Arabidopsis thaliana: one gene and its partners. The protein of the gene in region 1 interacts with the protein of each later gene in a pairwise test. Each region holds a gene or a part of one and is shown on either strand. Other genes may lie near its edges. The genes, in order: GIP1, GBF1 and bZIP16.

Evidence for each region.
Region 2: the proteins of GIP1 (region 1) and GBF1 interact in a two-hybrid assay, tested with the Arabidopsis thaliana proteins (one study listed by BioGRID).
Region 3: the proteins of GIP1 (region 1) and bZIP16 interact in a two-hybrid assay, tested with the Arabidopsis thaliana proteins (one study listed by BioGRID).

The regions. Positions count from the first base shown.
Region 1 is NC_003074.8:4,251,456-4,256,955, reverse strand, and holds the start of GIP1 (GBF-interacting protein 1), read left to right. Parts: upstream 1-2,677; 5' UTR 2,678-2,749; coding exon 2,750-2,927; intron 2,928-3,383; coding exon 3,384-3,427; intron 3,428-3,545; coding exon 3,546-3,612; intron 3,613-3,692; coding exon 3,693-3,819; intron 3,820-3,900; coding exon 3,901-4,154; intron 4,155-4,283; coding exon 4,284-4,524; intron 4,525-4,654; coding exon 4,655-4,817; intron 4,818-4,964; coding exon 4,965-5,372; intron 5,373-5,447; coding exon 5,448-5,500. Other genes in the region: AT3G13224 (RNA-binding (RRM/RBD/RNP motifs) family protein), read right to left, coding at 335-874, 1,101-1,270, 1,365-1,470, 1,572-1,735, 1,871-1,911, 2,053-2,108. UniProt on the Arabidopsis thaliana protein: Plant specific protein that enhances G-box-binding factor (GBF) DNA binding activity. May function as a nuclear chaperone or lever and regulate the multimeric state of GBFs. May contribute to bZIP-mediated gene regulation.
Region 2 is NC_003075.7:17,309,769-17,315,268, reverse strand, and holds the start of GBF1 (G-box binding factor 1), read left to right. Parts: upstream 1-2,780; 5' UTR 2,781-3,062; exon of another isoform or gene 3,063-3,478; 5' UTR 3,479-3,516; coding exon 3,517-3,576; intron 3,577-3,665; coding exon 3,666-3,710; intron 3,711-3,821; coding exon 3,822-3,911; intron 3,912-4,018; coding exon 4,019-4,108; intron 4,109-4,227; coding exon 4,228-4,367; intron 4,368-4,453; coding exon 4,454-4,511; intron 4,512-4,589; coding exon 4,590-4,638; intron 4,639-4,724; coding exon 4,725-4,846; intron 4,847-4,934; coding exon 4,935-5,012; intron 5,013-5,096; coding exon 5,097-5,222; intron 5,223-5,329; coding exon 5,330-5,419; 3' UTR 5,420-5,500. Other genes in the region: HB40 (homeobox protein 40), read left to right, coding at 378-620. UniProt on the Arabidopsis thaliana protein: Binds to the G-box motif (5'-CCACGTGG-3') of the rbcS-1A gene promoter. G-box and G-box-like motifs are cis-acting elements defined in promoters of certain plant genes which are regulated by such diverse stimuli as light-induction or hormone control.
Region 3 is NC_003071.7:14,923,927-14,929,426, reverse strand, and holds the start of bZIP16 (basic region/leucine zipper transcription factor 16), read left to right. Parts: upstream 1-2,817; 5' UTR 2,818-2,975; intron 2,976-3,360; 5' UTR 3,361-3,401; coding exon 3,402-3,488; intron 3,489-3,695; coding exon 3,696-3,752; intron 3,753-3,832; coding exon 3,833-3,910; intron 3,911-4,067; coding exon 4,068-4,157; intron 4,158-4,248; coding exon 4,249-4,308; intron 4,309-4,407; coding exon 4,408-4,577; intron 4,578-4,749; coding exon 4,750-4,804; intron 4,805-5,194; coding exon 5,195-5,225; intron 5,226-5,323; coding exon 5,324-5,500. Other genes in the region: AT2G35540 (DNAJ heat shock N-terminal domain-containing protein), read right to left, coding at 497-2,269. UniProt on the Arabidopsis thaliana protein: Transcriptional activator that binds to the G-box motif (5'-CACGTG-3') and other cis-acting elements with 5'-ACGT-3' core, such as Hex, C-box and as-1 motifs.

The DNA of each region.
Region 1 (5,500 bases):
TGAAAACTAAGCTAAGCGAGTAATTGATCATCTAACAAGACTACCAAATGATAAATCATTCTTGTGCCAGTGAGAAACAAACTCCAAGCCCAAATATGCTAAAGTCTACATAACACAATCTAAGTTATAGAGATAAGACAACACTTAAATTAGGTAAACACACAACTAAAAGATGACTAATAAAAGCTTTTTGATGCTCTTCCTGTCCTTAGCAACCCTTCCTGATGTTGGCGCTACATGATAACTCTAGAATGCACCTAGAGCAATTGGAACAATCTAGAGGAACCTGTGAGAGAAGCTTCTATAGCTCCAACTGATTGCTATTACCTCGACCCTACCTTGCATACGGATGGTATCGACTACTGCTACTATAACCCCTCCCATATGGACCACCTGCTCCTTCATAACTGCCACCTGGGCCACCAGATTCATATGCACCGCCGTAACCAGGCCCACCATATCCCCCATAGCCTTCCCCTCCTCCACGAGGATATCCCAAATAGGCTCCTTCTCCTCCACGGCCATATCCCTCACCACCAAACCCACTCCCATAGGGTCCAAAACGACTAGAATAGCCAAGGGGTGGTTCATTCCGGTAACCTCCTAAACTACCACCCCCATAATTATTATAACCTCCTCCAAATTCAGGGCCTACACTGCCACGACCATACCCATATCCCCCAGCATATCTACTAGCAGGACCTCCATGTGACCTAATGGGACCTGGAGGATGACCATACCCTCCATCAAAACCTCCGTAAGGTCCACCATAACTTGCATAACTATCGTTAGAAGAACGACCTCTAGGGTGACTACCGTAAGAAGGAGGTGAACGGTTTAGAGATTTCTTTGGTTCAGCTTTCTTGATCTCCACCTACAACAAAGCAACTTAATTAACCTAGCTATGCTAAGGACCCAAACTATAGCAGGGATTTCCTATCTTACTGTGACAAGCTCCTTACATTTGGTAAGCTAGTGGGTAGAATTCTAACTAAGTTAAACGTGTATAATGAAAGGAACAAGGAGAAAATATCAAATTGAAACCAAGATAAATATGTCATCATGAACCAAAATTCTAATCCCCATTTGTACAAGCTTACCTGAGTGTCTGCCATATCGATCATGTTTCCTTTGGACAATAATTCATCTACGACTTCTTCGCTATCAAAAATTACAAAACCAAAACCTCTGGACCTGTTTGTTTCATGGTCTCGAATAACCTGGTGCTCCACCACGTTCCCATACTTGGCAAAGAAGTCCTTAAGTTCATCTGATCAACAGAAAAAGAAACCAACTTCAATAAGGACAGGAAACCAGCATTCTCATGGAAAGCAAAAAAATATCATGCCAAGAGGGAGGTCTACCTTCTGTAACCGTTGAGGGTATACCACCAACGAAAATCTTCTTTGTTTTGATGTCCTTTGACTGATTGCCACCAGCACCTTTCGGAATAGTCCTTTTGATCTCAACCTGTTCCATCAAAACAAGGAAAAAAGTATTGATCAAGACCCAACACCCTACTAAAAATGAACACTATAAGCTAGTGAAGGAAGAAAAGAGAAGTGGCCGACCTGTTTGCCATTGATGACATGAGTATCTTCGATAACTTTGTCAACAACAGAAGGGTCAGCGAAGGTGATGAAACCGAAACCCCTAGGTTGTCCAGTATGTCGATCTCGCATAATGACAGAATCTGTAATCTCCCCGTACTTGCCAAAGTGCTTATTGAACACAGCTGCAATCAAAACCAAAGTGAGCAAGTAGAATCAACATTCCAACAGGTCTAACATCAGAAACACACACAAGAATCCATAACATAACAAAACTTAGAAACGCAATTTCTAGAACAAAACAAGAGGAAGAAACTTACTATTAGTCGTGTCTTTGTGCAATCCTCCAATGAATATTTTCCTGCAACACAAAAATTCCAAGCAAAACATAAATTAAACCTTAACCAACAATATAAAAAGAGTTACAAAGCCAACAGATTATGAGATATTTCCCTTAATCCTGTGGAATCAAACATGCAAGAGGTAGGAGAAGTAAACGTACCCAGGACTAGCGCCATCGCCGGACTGGAAATTATCATTACGAGATCTGGAACCCATCGCAGCTCCTAAATTCAGTTTTCGATTGAGCTAAAGGATCGAGAGAGACACCGAAAGCTAGGGTTTTGATAAGATCTGATGTCTCTTCATCTAATTAGAGGAGATAGCTAAATCGTGTAATATATATATATTCTTAAATTTGGACATCGACTTGTGGAAACAAAACAAAGTTAATATTTTTTTACACAGCTGTCTATTTTTCCTATTCTTGTAAAAAGACAAAAAAAAAAAAAGTAAATTGTTGACAGTGGGATTTGAACCCACGCCCTTTCGGACCAGAACCTTAATCTGGCGCCTTAGACCAACTCGGCCATATCAACTTTGTTGTCTCTCCTTCCATTAAACGCGTACAAAACAATCAAATAATGAGGAGGAAATCGATAAACAGTGACGTCAGCGTATAAATATACGTAGAGAGAGACATTAAGCGGTAGATTGTACGGAAATAAATAATAGTACTCAATCAAATAATGAGGAGGAAATTGATAAACAGTGACGTCAGCGTATAAATATACGTAGAGAGAGACATTAAGCGGTAGATTGTACGGAAATAAATAATAGTACTATATACGAAGTCTTTATGTTCAACCCATATTTCCTCTCTCCTCCTCCCTCCGCTTCTCTTTCTCTCTGTAACCAACATGAGCAGGATCAGCGGCGATGGCGGCTCTAGGGTTTCTATTCCGGCTGATCTGCTTCAAACCATTCAAAACATCAGAGAGGTTACCGGTAAACAACATTCCGACGAGGATATCTTCTCTGTCTTTAAGGAGTGTTTCAGTGATCCACATGAGACCACTCAGAAGCTTCTCTATTTAGGTTGTTTTACTGAGAAAGCTTCAGCATTTGTTTTTGTTTTAGTGTTTTTACTTCCTTTTTGTTGTATTGAGCGTGTGCTTCTCCTAGGGTTTTGTTTTGGATTTTGCTATTTAATGCCCTTTGTCGATTTTGGTCTTGTCTTAGAATCTGTGTGTTATGCTTAGAATCTTATGTTTTGTTTATTTAGATTTCTAATTGGTATAATATGTCTGGGGATGTTCAAATAAGGAATCTTTTTTACTGAAATGGAATATGTAGAATTTGGGTTCATGACTAAGAAACTGTCGTTTTAAATCTTTACCAATCTAGCTGGAATGTGGAAAGGGAATTTCTGTTTAGCTTTGATTGAGATTGGGCATCTGGGTTAAGTTTTGATTCTGTCTACTGTTTCAAGATCAACATAATCATGTACTTTGATAGCAGACATGTACTCATATATTATTACTGATCTTTCAGATACATTTCATGAGGTGAGAAGCAAACGGGAGAGAAAGAAAGAGGTAGCTTTCCTATGTTCTTTTGAATCCTTACTTTGCATTTTAAGTGTGGTCTTGAGTTCTCTGTTTAGCTTACATCATCTCGTTTCTCTTATGCCTTTATGTGTATTACCTGTTGTAGAATTTAGTGCCAAATACACAAGGAAGGGGCCGGACTGGACGGAAGAACTTTGCTTCAAGTTACACAGGTCATTGTGGTTTATGTTCTTTTACTTCTAAACTTGTGTTCTATATTTCCTTCCTTGATTCAAGCTCTTTGTTGATTCAGATGCCAGTAATGGAAGAAGTGCAGCTTTTAAAAAGCAGAGTGGAGCTAATCACATAATAGGAGGTTCTGGAACTGCTTCGTCTGCTCCTAACAATGCAAGAAACGACACAAAACCTTCTTCCATAATGTATCCATACTTTTAATTCTGTCTATGTCTTTAATTCCCTCTTTGGATATGGGCTTCCTAACGCATTCTATTCTTTTTCAGGGCCCCGAACCCTATAAGTCTTCCAAGTGGAATCAGTAACCAGAAAATTCAAGATGCTATCATATCCCCTGTGGACAAGGTGGACACAGAGGAACAGCCTCTCTCCAAGGCTACTTCTTCTTCTAAGGATGTTGTTGAGCCGGATAAGTCTAAAGAAAGTAGTGTATCAGTGGCTGTATCAGATTCTGTTGTAGAAAACGATACTCAATATGCTGTAGTTGAAACTTTTCAGATCCCACAACAGTCCGAGCGAGGTATAAATTATACCATATAATTACTTGCCTGCTAATGTTGCTTTAAGTGCATTCTGTATTCTGTTAAGTTGTTCCTGAGTTTGATTACAGCCTCTTATGTGATTCGACGTATGGCTTTATTTGGAACAGTCATTAAGAGTGAGGTTGCAGCCAGTAAATGCAAGAATGAGTCGCTTCTCAAGTCGGATGTTGGTGAACGGCCGCACGTAACATTTCCTGTCCACATTCAGGTTGCCAAAATGCTGGAAAATGGTCTGACATTTGGGAGCTTCGATTCTAATTTTGTGAGAGAGGCATCTTCTGACAAGTTTACTATTGGGTGTGATGACTCCAATATTGAGTCTTCTCATGGGACAGCCGCATCAGCTAGGTTGGTGACTAATAGCTACTTTGAGTAAATCTTACAGTGTTACTTGCTTCAATATTCTCATGAATTGATCTAGAGTCTCAGATGAATGAGTTTCTGATATGAATACCTTTATATGAAACTTGGTTTGCAGGAAAGATATATCAACTTTTTCTCAGGATAAGAATCATGAGATTTCAAATTCAGCAGCTCAGAACGAGTTAACATTGCAGCCAGATCAAACTGTTCTCCCTGAAGAAGGTTCAGAAGGAGATAAAGTAAAGAACGAGGTTTTACCAATCACAGACACTCATCAGGTTGGTTATTATCAAGAAGCCCCACACAATGTCTTTTTAGTCTTGTGCATTCATTGTCAGCATCAGGCCAACCGCGTGGTTTTTCTAGCCAGGAAATATGAACACAATGCTTAATCACTGTCTTTTATATTTTGTTGATAATTGCAGGCTGCAAAGTGTGATGCTCCACCTATCTCCTATCCTGATCAGTATTCCTTAGCAGCCGCTCAACAGGCAATGCACCTTTATAGGCAACAATACTCTCTTAACTATTTCCCTTATGGTCCATATTTCCCCCCTTATTATATGCCGCAACCATACATTCACCAGTACTTGAGCCCAAATGGGTTCCAACAACAGTCTTACTTACCACCCGGAGATGATGCTCCAGCACCTCCAGGGGCTGAACTACCTCTCACTCACATCAAACCCGGAAGCGACATTGGAAACTCTCCACCTACCACGATTCCATTCTCATATACTTCATACGCCTTCAACCACATCCCATCAGCAGCCACCATAAATGCTACTCACAAGGAAGAAAAGAAGGAAAACATGTACACAACTGGACCACTGGTTAGTTTTTCTCTGACTCTCCCCACTGTCATTGCATGTTATGCTATAGTTTTTTAACACGGCTCCATGTAGCAGAGTCTAGCCAATCTGCAGGCCAGTCCCATGTACAACTTATCCCTTCAAGGTCA
Region 2 (5,500 bases), on another chromosome or scaffold:
TTTTTTTCACCTTGTTCCTACACTCAATTGCATAGTAAAAGGTAAACAAATTCTTTAGATAATTATTGTTTGGCATAAATGAACGTGAGCTCAAGGCTCGAAGAAATTAGAAAATTCAATAAATGAGACAGAAAGTGAAGTTGATAACAAAAAAAATATTGATATCGAACAGTATAATGCCACCTTATTACACAACATATACACCTTTATATGTTCCGTACAATGTTCTTATTTTCTTAATAGTGGCTTGTCATTGTCAATGGGCTCAGTTCAACAGTAGGCCCACTGACTAAAAACACCATTTAAGTGTAATCAGATGCTTGCATCGGTGATTTAAGCTACGTAATGATTAATTTTACAATAATTTTCCTGAACAGGTTATTCAGCTCAAAGAACAACTCTATGATGCAGAGAGGGAAATCCAAAGATTAGCAGAAAGAGTAGAAGGAGGCTCAAGCAACAGTCCAATTTCGTCTTCCGTTTCCGTCGAAGCTAATGAAACGCCATTTTTTGGAGACTATAAAGTCGGAGATGATGGCGATGACTATGATCACTTGTTTTATCCGGTGCCGGAAAATAGTTACATCGATGAAGCGGAATGGATGAGTCTATACATATAAATTACTAGCTTAATGTAATATTATATCAAGTTAGTATCGTGAATTAGGGAAGCATATTTCTAAGTAAATTTACTAGATTATATAACTGTTGCATTTCTAATGTACAAATATATTGACGATGAGTTTCTCGCTAATGTAATTTGGCTATCTTTATGAAAGCAACAATATAAAATTGCTTAAGTAGTTAAAAAAAATTAGCTACTTTGTTGAATTAAATTTCTAAGAAAAATATATATGAATTCGTTAGGATTTAATTATAATAAGTAAACTGTAATTTGGTTTCACTAACGAAAAAAAAAGTGCGGCCATAAAAGCAGTATCGGCTGCAAGATTCGAAAAACCTTTACTTTTAAAATTGTAGAAGACAAAGGACTAGATGACATGCACATGAAGATAAGATGAGCAAATTTGTTAAAACTTTTTATCTCCATGGATAAGAGTTTGCCCGATTTATACAAAAGAGAAGTTCGGATAAAATATAACTAATTCTGGTAAAACATTTTGAGTCAACTTTTATAGATCGGTTGACAACTAATGTGTAAGCTTATATTATGGTTTATACATAATATATTCATCACGTAATCATTATTACTTATTAGTGATCTGATCGCATAATATAAAATGAGAGTATTAGTCATCAAAAGTTACCACGTATCATGCGTTTCTCAAAATGTTAGAAAAAACACATCGTTTTCTAATCAACGGAAAAATCAAAGTGTCTTTGGACAAGATCAGATGTTCTTTTGATTAAAACCTCTTCCAGTAATTGTAAACTGTACAAGTGCATTTTCTGAAAATCAAAGTTTTCTTGGACATGACTAGAGATTCTTTGATTAGAGTCTTCTGGATTTTGATTGACGTTAAGATATTTTTGATTTAGACATATACTAAATCCTAATTAATTAAAATTATAGATCGAAAACATTATGGTCTCGTAAAGTTTAGAAACTATGGACCCACGAAGAAGTGTTTGGCGAATAAGCGAAGGATTTAATTTAGTTTTGGGTATATAGAAAACGAAGTGTAAAGAAAACGTAACGTTATGGCTCTTTCTAAATTGGGTTTGTTTTAAGTACTCGTAACCACTTTCAACACATTCACTGTATATAGTGTGTTGTATTATATTGTTTGAGTCGTCATATGATGAGATTGTATATATATAAAGAAAAGTCTTGGACCTTTTGATATGGTGATCCATCACATCAACTACGTAATGGTAATACTAATGCTCTACGATAGATGCTATATTTACCTAAGAAAACCGATTTTTTAAGAATGCACTGAATTTTGCTATCAATCAGTTAACTATTGATAAGTCATATTTAGATTTTTATTTTGTTTCATTTGTAAACAGAAAATCACAAGACGTTGGAGACATCTTGGCTTGCTCCTGGCACCTATAAAAAAATGTATGTTTGCAATAATATTAGGGACTTATTAAAGTAGGCCCAATGGGCTTAAGATTCCACCAAATTAGCTTGACAAACACTAAGGGCCTGTCTCGGATATTAGTTGTTTTTAATTAGCAATTGAATAAACTGATGCACGTTGACTCTCTTTTTTTCGTCGTCATGTTTGATTTTTTTTTTTTTTTGTCGTCATGTTTGATTAGTTCTTAAATCTTAACGATAAGTTAAATTATCGATTTAATATCAACAACTGTAGCAAATTTTAATATTCTACGTTAAAAAACTTACTACTATTTTTTTTTTTTTTTTCAGTAAAATGACACAAACATGCAAACCTAGAAAATAGCTTTGACTTGGTTAGTTTCTTGTTAAAGAAAAAGATTACAAACAATTAACATAATATATTATGCACTACAACGGGAAACAAAATTAAGAAAAAAGACTCTTTATCTACAAAAAAAAATCATATAAATGTAAAAAGGGTTTTATCATTGACAATTTGACAGTTATCAATTTACATCAAAATATATTTTAAATGTTTTTAATATTCATGTACTTAATTAGATCGCTAATAATGATAATAAATTGAATATCCTTTTTGATTGTAATAAATGAGTAGATGAGTCACACCAACTGTAGCTACCGTGTCAAAACCTTATCCAGTAACACGTGTACAGCTGGACCTCTCATTGTCGCACGTGTCAGATCATCAAACCCTAAAATTAAAATCCCAAAGAAAAAAAAAACTTTCCTCTTTCTTCGCATTCTTCTCCTCCTATCGGACTTTGCCACACCAGATCGGAAAATCCCAATCCTCTTTTCCTTTGTTTTTTTTGCTATCTTCAATCAAAAACTCTCCGACAGATTCAATGAAGCAGCAAAAGAGATAAAACCCTAACAAAAGTAAACAATCGGAGTTTTAATCTTCTTCTTCTTCGGAGCCGGAGTTTTGTCTGATCTGTCGGAGAGGACGTGTCGGCATCTATTAAAATCCTAGCTGGACTTCCACATCACTTTACTCAATTAGAAGCTGGTCTGTTTTCTCTGTTTTTATTCTAACTTTTTCTCTCGTTTAATTTCTCATATGCAAACAAACACCTTTGCATGTAACTGATTCTGTTGTACTTGAATTGAATTCTTTAATCAATTATGCAAACAGAGCTTGTTTTGGAGATGATGATTCACAAGTATGAGATTGTCTTTCTGCTTAAGAATTCGTTGAGTGTTGGTTTCTGAAGTTTGAATTGTGTGTGTGTGTGTGATTTAAAATACTGATGCATGGTTCGAAGCTTAGAGATTTTAGATTGCTATAAATGAAAGCAAAAGAACAGTGCCCTTACTCTTGTTCTGTTTTAAAGTCATTGATTGTTATAATTGAAAGCAAAAGATTTTAGTTTTGATGTTTTATGATTACTATTTATCGTTAAGATTTTTGATTTTTGTTTATAGTTTTGAGTAACACAAGTAAGTAGTAAGCTTATAAAACAATGGGAACGAGCGAAGACAAGATGCCATTTAAGACTACCAAACCAACATCTTCGGCTCAGGTTAATCCTTCTCTTCTCCTTTCTTTTCAACATCTTTGTTCTGTTTTATATTTTAAGGTGTTTGATGTATCTACCTCTCTCTTTTTCAGGAAGTTCCTCCCACACCGTATCCAGATTGGCAAAATTCAATGCAGGTTCGTGTTACATGTACAACTTTGGTCACTATTAGTTTTTATAGTGTAAGTGAATACTTTCTCGAAAACACCGGGACTGCTGAACATAATAGTATATGCTTATTTCTTTAGGCTTATTATGGCGGAGGAGGTACTCCAAATCCTTTTTTCCCATCCCCAGTTGGATCTCCTAGTCCTCACCCCTATATGTGGGGTGCTCAAGTAAGTTTTGTATCGTATAGTTGTTGATATGATTCTATGAAAAAGAAGTTTGCATCTTATTCTTTGGATAACACTAAATGAGTTTCTCTGTTTTGCATTACTTTCAGCACCATATGATGCCGCCTTATGGCACCCCAGTTCCGTACCCAGCAATGTATCCCCCGGGGGCAGTCTATGCTCATCCTAGCATGCCCATGGTAATCTCCATACCATTAATACAACATTAGCTATCGTTGAAAGCTTTTTGCTCTGTTACATGGCAATGCATAGATAAATGAGAAAGTAAAAAACTTGCTCGACATTTCTTTTGTTGTAGCCTCCTAATTCTGGTCCTACCAACAAGGAGCCTGCGAAGGACCAAGCTTCTGGCAAGAAGTCAAAGGGGAACTCGAAAAAAAAGGCTGAAGGAGGTGATAAAGCGCTCTCTGGTTCAGGGAACGATGGTGCCTCTCATAGGTGATTTTTATAACACTCTACTCAACGTGGTGCTTGTTCAGTTTGATTGCAGTGTCATATGTAATTATGATTTTTCCGTTGTGCAGTGATGAAAGTGTCACAGCGGGTTCATCTGATGAAAATGATGAGAATGCCAATCAACAGGTACTGTTATGTGTTTGAAGTGTTCTCTGTTGCTACAATACTTTGTGATGTGCTTCATTGAGATTCATGTTAATGTAGGAACAGGGTTCAATTCGAAAGCCAAGCTTTGGACAGATGCTTGCTGACGGTATGCTTTTGACCGCTGCAGTTTTCATGGTTTTTCTTTGCATGTATTTTCCATGTTTCTTGACTTGGTAAAGTTTCCTTGAACAGCAAGTTCTCAAAGTACGACTGGTGAAATCCAAGGTTCGGTGCCCATGAAGCCGGTAGCCCCGGGGACTAATCTGAATATCGGGATGGACTTATGGTCTTCCCAAGCTGGTGTACCAGTGAAGGTGTGACCAACTCCTCATTTCACCCTGCAAGGTTGCTTTTCCGAATTCGTTACATTCTTCCTTACAAAATCCTCTGATTACTCAACAGGATGAACGAGAGCTCAAGCGGCAGAAGAGGAAACAATCTAACCGTGAATCCGCTAGGCGGTCTAGATTGCGGAAGCAGGTAATATGCATTTGTGTGTTAGTATCATTTTACTCTGTCTGCTTCTTGTAATTTACTCATTCCATAATAAACCATTTCGAATAGGCCGAATGCGAACAACTTCAACAAAGAGTAGAGAGTTTGTCGAACGAGAATCAAAGCCTGAGAGATGAGCTACAGAGACTCTCAAGCGAATGTGATAAGCTCAAGTCTGAGAACAACTCAATCCAGGTGACAAACTCTTTATCCGGAAAAATTTCTGCGAAAATCATACTCTTTCCAACTTTTATCTTATTTCTATCGGCTTGCATTTACACTAGAGTCATGGAATAATGCAGGATGAGTTGCAGAGAGTACTTGGAGCAGAGGCTGTAGCTAATCTAGAACAGAATGCTGCTGGGTCGAAAGATGGTGAAGGAACAAATTAACACTTAGGAAAATTGGAACTTTACAACGGATTATTGGGATTTTTCAACACCGGATAAAAAAAACTGAGTCCAAAGTCATTT
Region 3 (5,500 bases), on another chromosome or scaffold:
AAAAAAGAGTGATCTTTCGGCTTACGCAAACGAGAAAAATCGTCGGAGTTACCAGTGGCGACACTCCACCGCTATGCTCTCGCTCACTCTGCGCACTCTTTCTCTCTCAAACCTCTGATGGACGAAATAATTCACTTTGAGGCCTTGAGAATTTCTAGGGCTCACCGATTTTTAAACTCCGTTTCTTTTTGCCCCACGCGAAATTTATGCATATATTTTAAACAATATAAAATTCTTAAGTTTACAATTAGTCAATTAGATAATTAAACTTTGAAAATTTATTTTTTTGCCACTAAGATTTGGTAATATAACACAATATTTAACTTATCTATGCAATTTATAAACTTGTGGGAAAGTCTTTGGACTTTGGGTTTGGGCACTAAATATAGTTGATCTAAACTAATATGATTAAGTTAGACAAATATAGACATGAAGTGCTTGTTTCTCTTTGTCATGAGATGATGAGAAACAGAAAACAAAGAAGTGTCTATGTTCACTAAGTGGCAGAAACCAAATCAGGAGGAACAGAAGCAAGATCAAGCACCCAAGACTCTTTCAGATCAGCTCCAGATTCATCTTCAGGCAGCTTCTTGGCCGGAATCTGATGAGAGAGCAAGGCTGCAACATCTTCTTTCTCGACCCACCTGACTGCATTATACCCGTAATCCCGTCTCTTGAACAGGTTGCTATAGTCGTTAACCTTCTCCAAATATGCTACACTTAATCCATATGCATCAGTATACATTGTCAAGCATACGACAATCTCATAGCGTCTGGTCTTTCTTCTCTGAAGACCTGGATTTGTCTCTGAGTAGACTGCCCAAACCGAGCCTTTCTTTGGATATATTTGGTATATTTCTCGTGCAGCCCTTTCGCAGTTGACAAGGTGAGAGAATGGTTTCACTTGTTCTATCAAAGCTTTCTCTGAAACCCGGAACCTACCACAAGGCATATGAGAAGAACTAATCTTCATCCAAGAGATTAGTTTCTCGCTCTCAAAATCCAACCAGCTGATCCATACCTTAAAAGGATTCAAAGAGACTACTTCACTAACTAAACAGTAACTCCGAGGCATTTTGTCATCACCACCATCATATATCGCCCAAATCTGCCCTTTCTTGAAGCTCCTCGGCATCCGGTCCTTATCAAAATCATACAGTTCAAAATCCTCGTCTTCCATATACATTTCTTGGCTTAACTTACCACGATCCCTCTTCCTATCAACCCGAGGCACGTATTCTAAATCCACTATCTCAGTTAAATCCTTGTGGTTCGCCATCTTCTTCTTCTTTATATTCTTCCTATTCTTTAAAACTTCTTGTTTATTATTCACTGCGTTAGTACTCATCTCCCTTAACGTTTCAGTCATGGAGGCATCAGCTAAAGATCTCTTCTGCGTTTCCCTTCCCATGTTTTCTTCTCCACTGCTATCTTTCTCAGTGATCTTCGAATTCACCTTCGACTTATTTCTCTTTATCACCGCTTGCATTTCTGCCAAAGTCATCATCCCTTCATCCTCTTCATCCGACCCCTCAAATACATTAATAGCTTCTGCTGCTTCCTGACTCATCTCCCCTGTCTCAACTTCTTTTATCAGACTTTCACCATCGCTATCAACAGGCCTCTTCCTCCTACTATATGTTATGATCTTGGAAGTACAAGCTCCATTTTCTCTACCCTCTTCTTCCTTCTCAACTTCCTTCGCCTCAAAACTATTCTTGCAAGTAGGGCACATCAAATTTTGTCCTAAATACTTCCTATCAAACTTATGCACCGACCTACAACCCGAACAAACCGCCGAAAACGTTGACGTTTCATCACCACCAGAACCACCGCTAACCATTTCCCCCTGAATCCTAATCCTCAACTTCATATCATACTCAGTCCTCCTAACCTTATCAGAGAAAACCCTAAAGGCCTCATTCAAAAGTTTGAACCCCTCCTCACACCCCACATACGGATTCTTATCAGGATGCAACACCAAAGCTAGCTTCCTATACTGTTGTTTTATGGTATTAATATGAGAAAAAGGCTCTACCTTTAGAACCTTGTACCATTCCGGAAAACCTCCGGCGACTGTGGCGGCGGAGCTGATGATCTCGAAAGCGGTGACCATGGCGGATAAACCTTCCGTGTTCGGAGACAAGCTGAGAGCTTTCCGCGCGTGAGTTAAGGCCGACATCAAATCACCGCAATTGAAACTCGATTCCGCTAGTGCTTTGTGGTGTATGGATTCCTTTTCTACTTCTGAGTCTGATCCAGAAGCCATTGCTGTGTAGCCGGAGACGCCTTCAAAAACTTCAACTTTGAAAGAGAGGGCTAAAAAGAGAGAGAGAGCTCTGCTTTTTCTATTCCCTTGAATTCACTCACCCTAGTCTTTTTATTATTTTCTTTATCACCCTCTTATTTATTAAGAATCTCTTTTCTGCCCAATAGTTTTTTTTGTTAGTGTTCCTAACTATTTTGTCATAAAGTCATTTATTGTTTTTGATGACATGTAACATTACCAATGAGTCAATGCACTATCATTCTATCAATGTGTATTGTATACATAAACCTATTCATAACATTTAAAATATACTTTTGCAAAGACACTTTTTCCATATATTTATGTCAATTTTGATTTTAAAGATCTTCCTTTTCAATTGGGGAGAAACTTTTTTCCTTATCAAATTGTGACATTTTGGGTGGGTTACAAATTATTGTAAGGCTTTAAATGGGTAAAGTTCATAAATAAGTTATAAAGAAGGGCTTTTAATAAAAATACTTAAATTTGGGCAAAGAAGCAATTTTTATTCCTCGTGAACTCCACGCCCCCTTTCTTCTCCGTCAGATAACAAAAAACAAATCAAGCAAATTTATTTATCTTGGTCAAGAGACATTGATTCTCTTAAATTTCTGCAAAATTAAGCTCAGAGATTCACACCGCATCTGAAATTGTGCTCAGAGGGGTTCCAAATATTACCAGTCGTTAGGTATTTCTGTTCACATCTCTCCAAGTTTGTATCTTTGGGGTTAGATTTTAGCGTTTCTCTTCTGAATTCGATTGAGTTTTCTAGGGCTTTTCGAGGGTTTCTATATATACTTCTCGGTTTTGTGTTATTGTGTTTCTCCGGTCCGACATTGTTATTTACCTGTTTCTGCATCTTGAGAAAAAGACTAGACCTTTAAGCTGTTGTTGGATTATCAATATATATATATATATATATATATAGCTGTATTGGTCAACGATCAATAGGAGAAGTTTGGAACGAAATCTCTAACATCTTATTAGCTGAAATGTTGAATTGTTGGATGTGTTGAGTTTATGCATGAGTAGATCTCGTAGTGAGTTAGCTTATAGCTGACTTCGTCTTGCAGGAAGCAATCACGAGTTGTTTTAGGAATTAGTGAACGTGATAATGGCTAGCAATGAGATGGAAAAATCGAGTAAAGAGAAGGAACCTAAAACACCTCCTCCTTCTTCTACTGCCCCTCCCTCTTCACAGGTTTGTGTTTGCCCTTCTCTGCTTCCAATTTTCTTAAGAGGACCATAATGTAAAAAGGGAAAACAAATCCCATGATTTAAGCTATTAGAAGCCGAATTAGAAGTGAGATACTAGAAAGGAAAATAAAAATATTCTAGATTTCAGCTAATTGTGATTTTGTATACCTATCAGTGATATGCTTTAGTTGGAATATTTCTGTGTTTGTAGGAACCTTCATCGGCTGTGAGTGCTGGCATGGCTACTCCAGATTGGTCTGGTTTTCAGGTTAGGACAGATTCCTCCATCTATGGATCTGCGCTCTCTTTTCTTGTTGCATTTGATCTTTACGGCTTTCTTTTCGACAGGCATATTCTCCTATGCCGCCGCCTCATGGTTATGTGGCATCTAGTCCCCAACCTCACCCTTATATGTGGGGAGTTCAGGTGAACTGGCTTACGCTTTATCGCTTTTTACTGTGATGTCTATCGGTGTTCAGAGTGCTGGAAAATTGCAACATTCTTATTGACTTATAACGAATTCGTTCAGCTGTCTTTCATCATATCTTTGATTGATTACTGAATGAGACATTAAATTTTGCAGCATATGATGCCTCCTTATGGAACTCCGCCTCATCCTTATGTTGCAATGTATCCCCCAGGTGGCATGTACGCACATCCTTCAATGCCTCCGGTACTGCCAACTGTAGTAGATTCAATTGCAGTGAACATAAATTAAAATGTAGCTGTTAATTATATCTTTAATATGTTCCATTCTGTATCAGGGTTCTTATCCCTATAGCCCTTATGCTATGCCTTCTCCAAATGGAATGACTGAAGTTTCTGTGAGTTAGCGTCCCATCATACTTCATTCGTTCTTTCTCAAACGGTCTTTGCTACCTTTGCTTATTGTAGGAACATAATTGAGAGATGATTTTATGCAGGGCAATACTACAGGCGGCACTGATGGTGATGCTAAACAATCTGAAGTGAAGGAAAAATTGCCCATCAAAAGATCAAGAGGAAGCTTGGGAAGTTTGAACATGATTACAGGAAAGAACAATGAACCTGGGAAAAACTCAGGAGCATCAGCTAATGGAGCTTACTCCAAAAGGCATGTAACACGCTTGTTTTTATCCGGTCTATGTGACGTGGCATGTATGCATGGTTGTTATCTTGGAAATATTATTATGTTTGGACTAGGACCCCTTTTGGACTTATGCTACTTCATTAGATAATATTCATTCTATTATTGCTCTGAGATTGTCAGAATTGTTTGGTTACAGTGGGGAGAGTGCTTCTGATGGTTCAAGTGAAGGAAGTGATGGGAACTCTCAAAATGTAAGTTTCGGATAGCTATCATCAGCCTTTTCATTTGAATTATATCTTTGTTGGTATGCATTCATTCTGGCAACCATGTTGTGATGAGGCGCTGTTTCATGGGGAACACCTAGTTTGTTTGCTAAGAATCTAGCATGAATCTGAATTTGGATTGACCTATTCAGATCTGTCAGTCCCTTGGAATTTCTCATTTAAATTTTATGAGTGTTGCTAACACTTGGAATCTGCACACTGGAACACATAACCTTTGCGTTCCATATGTCGCCTCATCAAACGTTTTTGTTGGATCTTTGGGCTCGAAAAGTCTTAATGTTATTTCCGTCTTTCTATGGGAGTGAGGAGTTCTTACAGTAATTATGACTGATTCTGATTTGCTTGCAATTCATGTAGGATTCGGGATCTGGACTAGATGGAAAGGATGGTTGGTTTACGATCTTTTCTTTTTCCTTTCGTTACTATCATGCGGCTAACACCGTGAAAGCTACTTATCAGAGAGTTCTTTATTGTTTTTCCATTCAGCTGAAGCAGCATCAGAGAATGGTGGTTCTGCCAATGGTCCGCAAAATGGAAGTGCTGGTACACCTATTCTACCGGTGAGCCAGACCGTACCAATCATGCCAATGACAGCTGCAGGTGTTCCTGGCCCACCAACAAATTTAAATATTGGGATGGATTACTGGGGTGCTCCAACTTCAG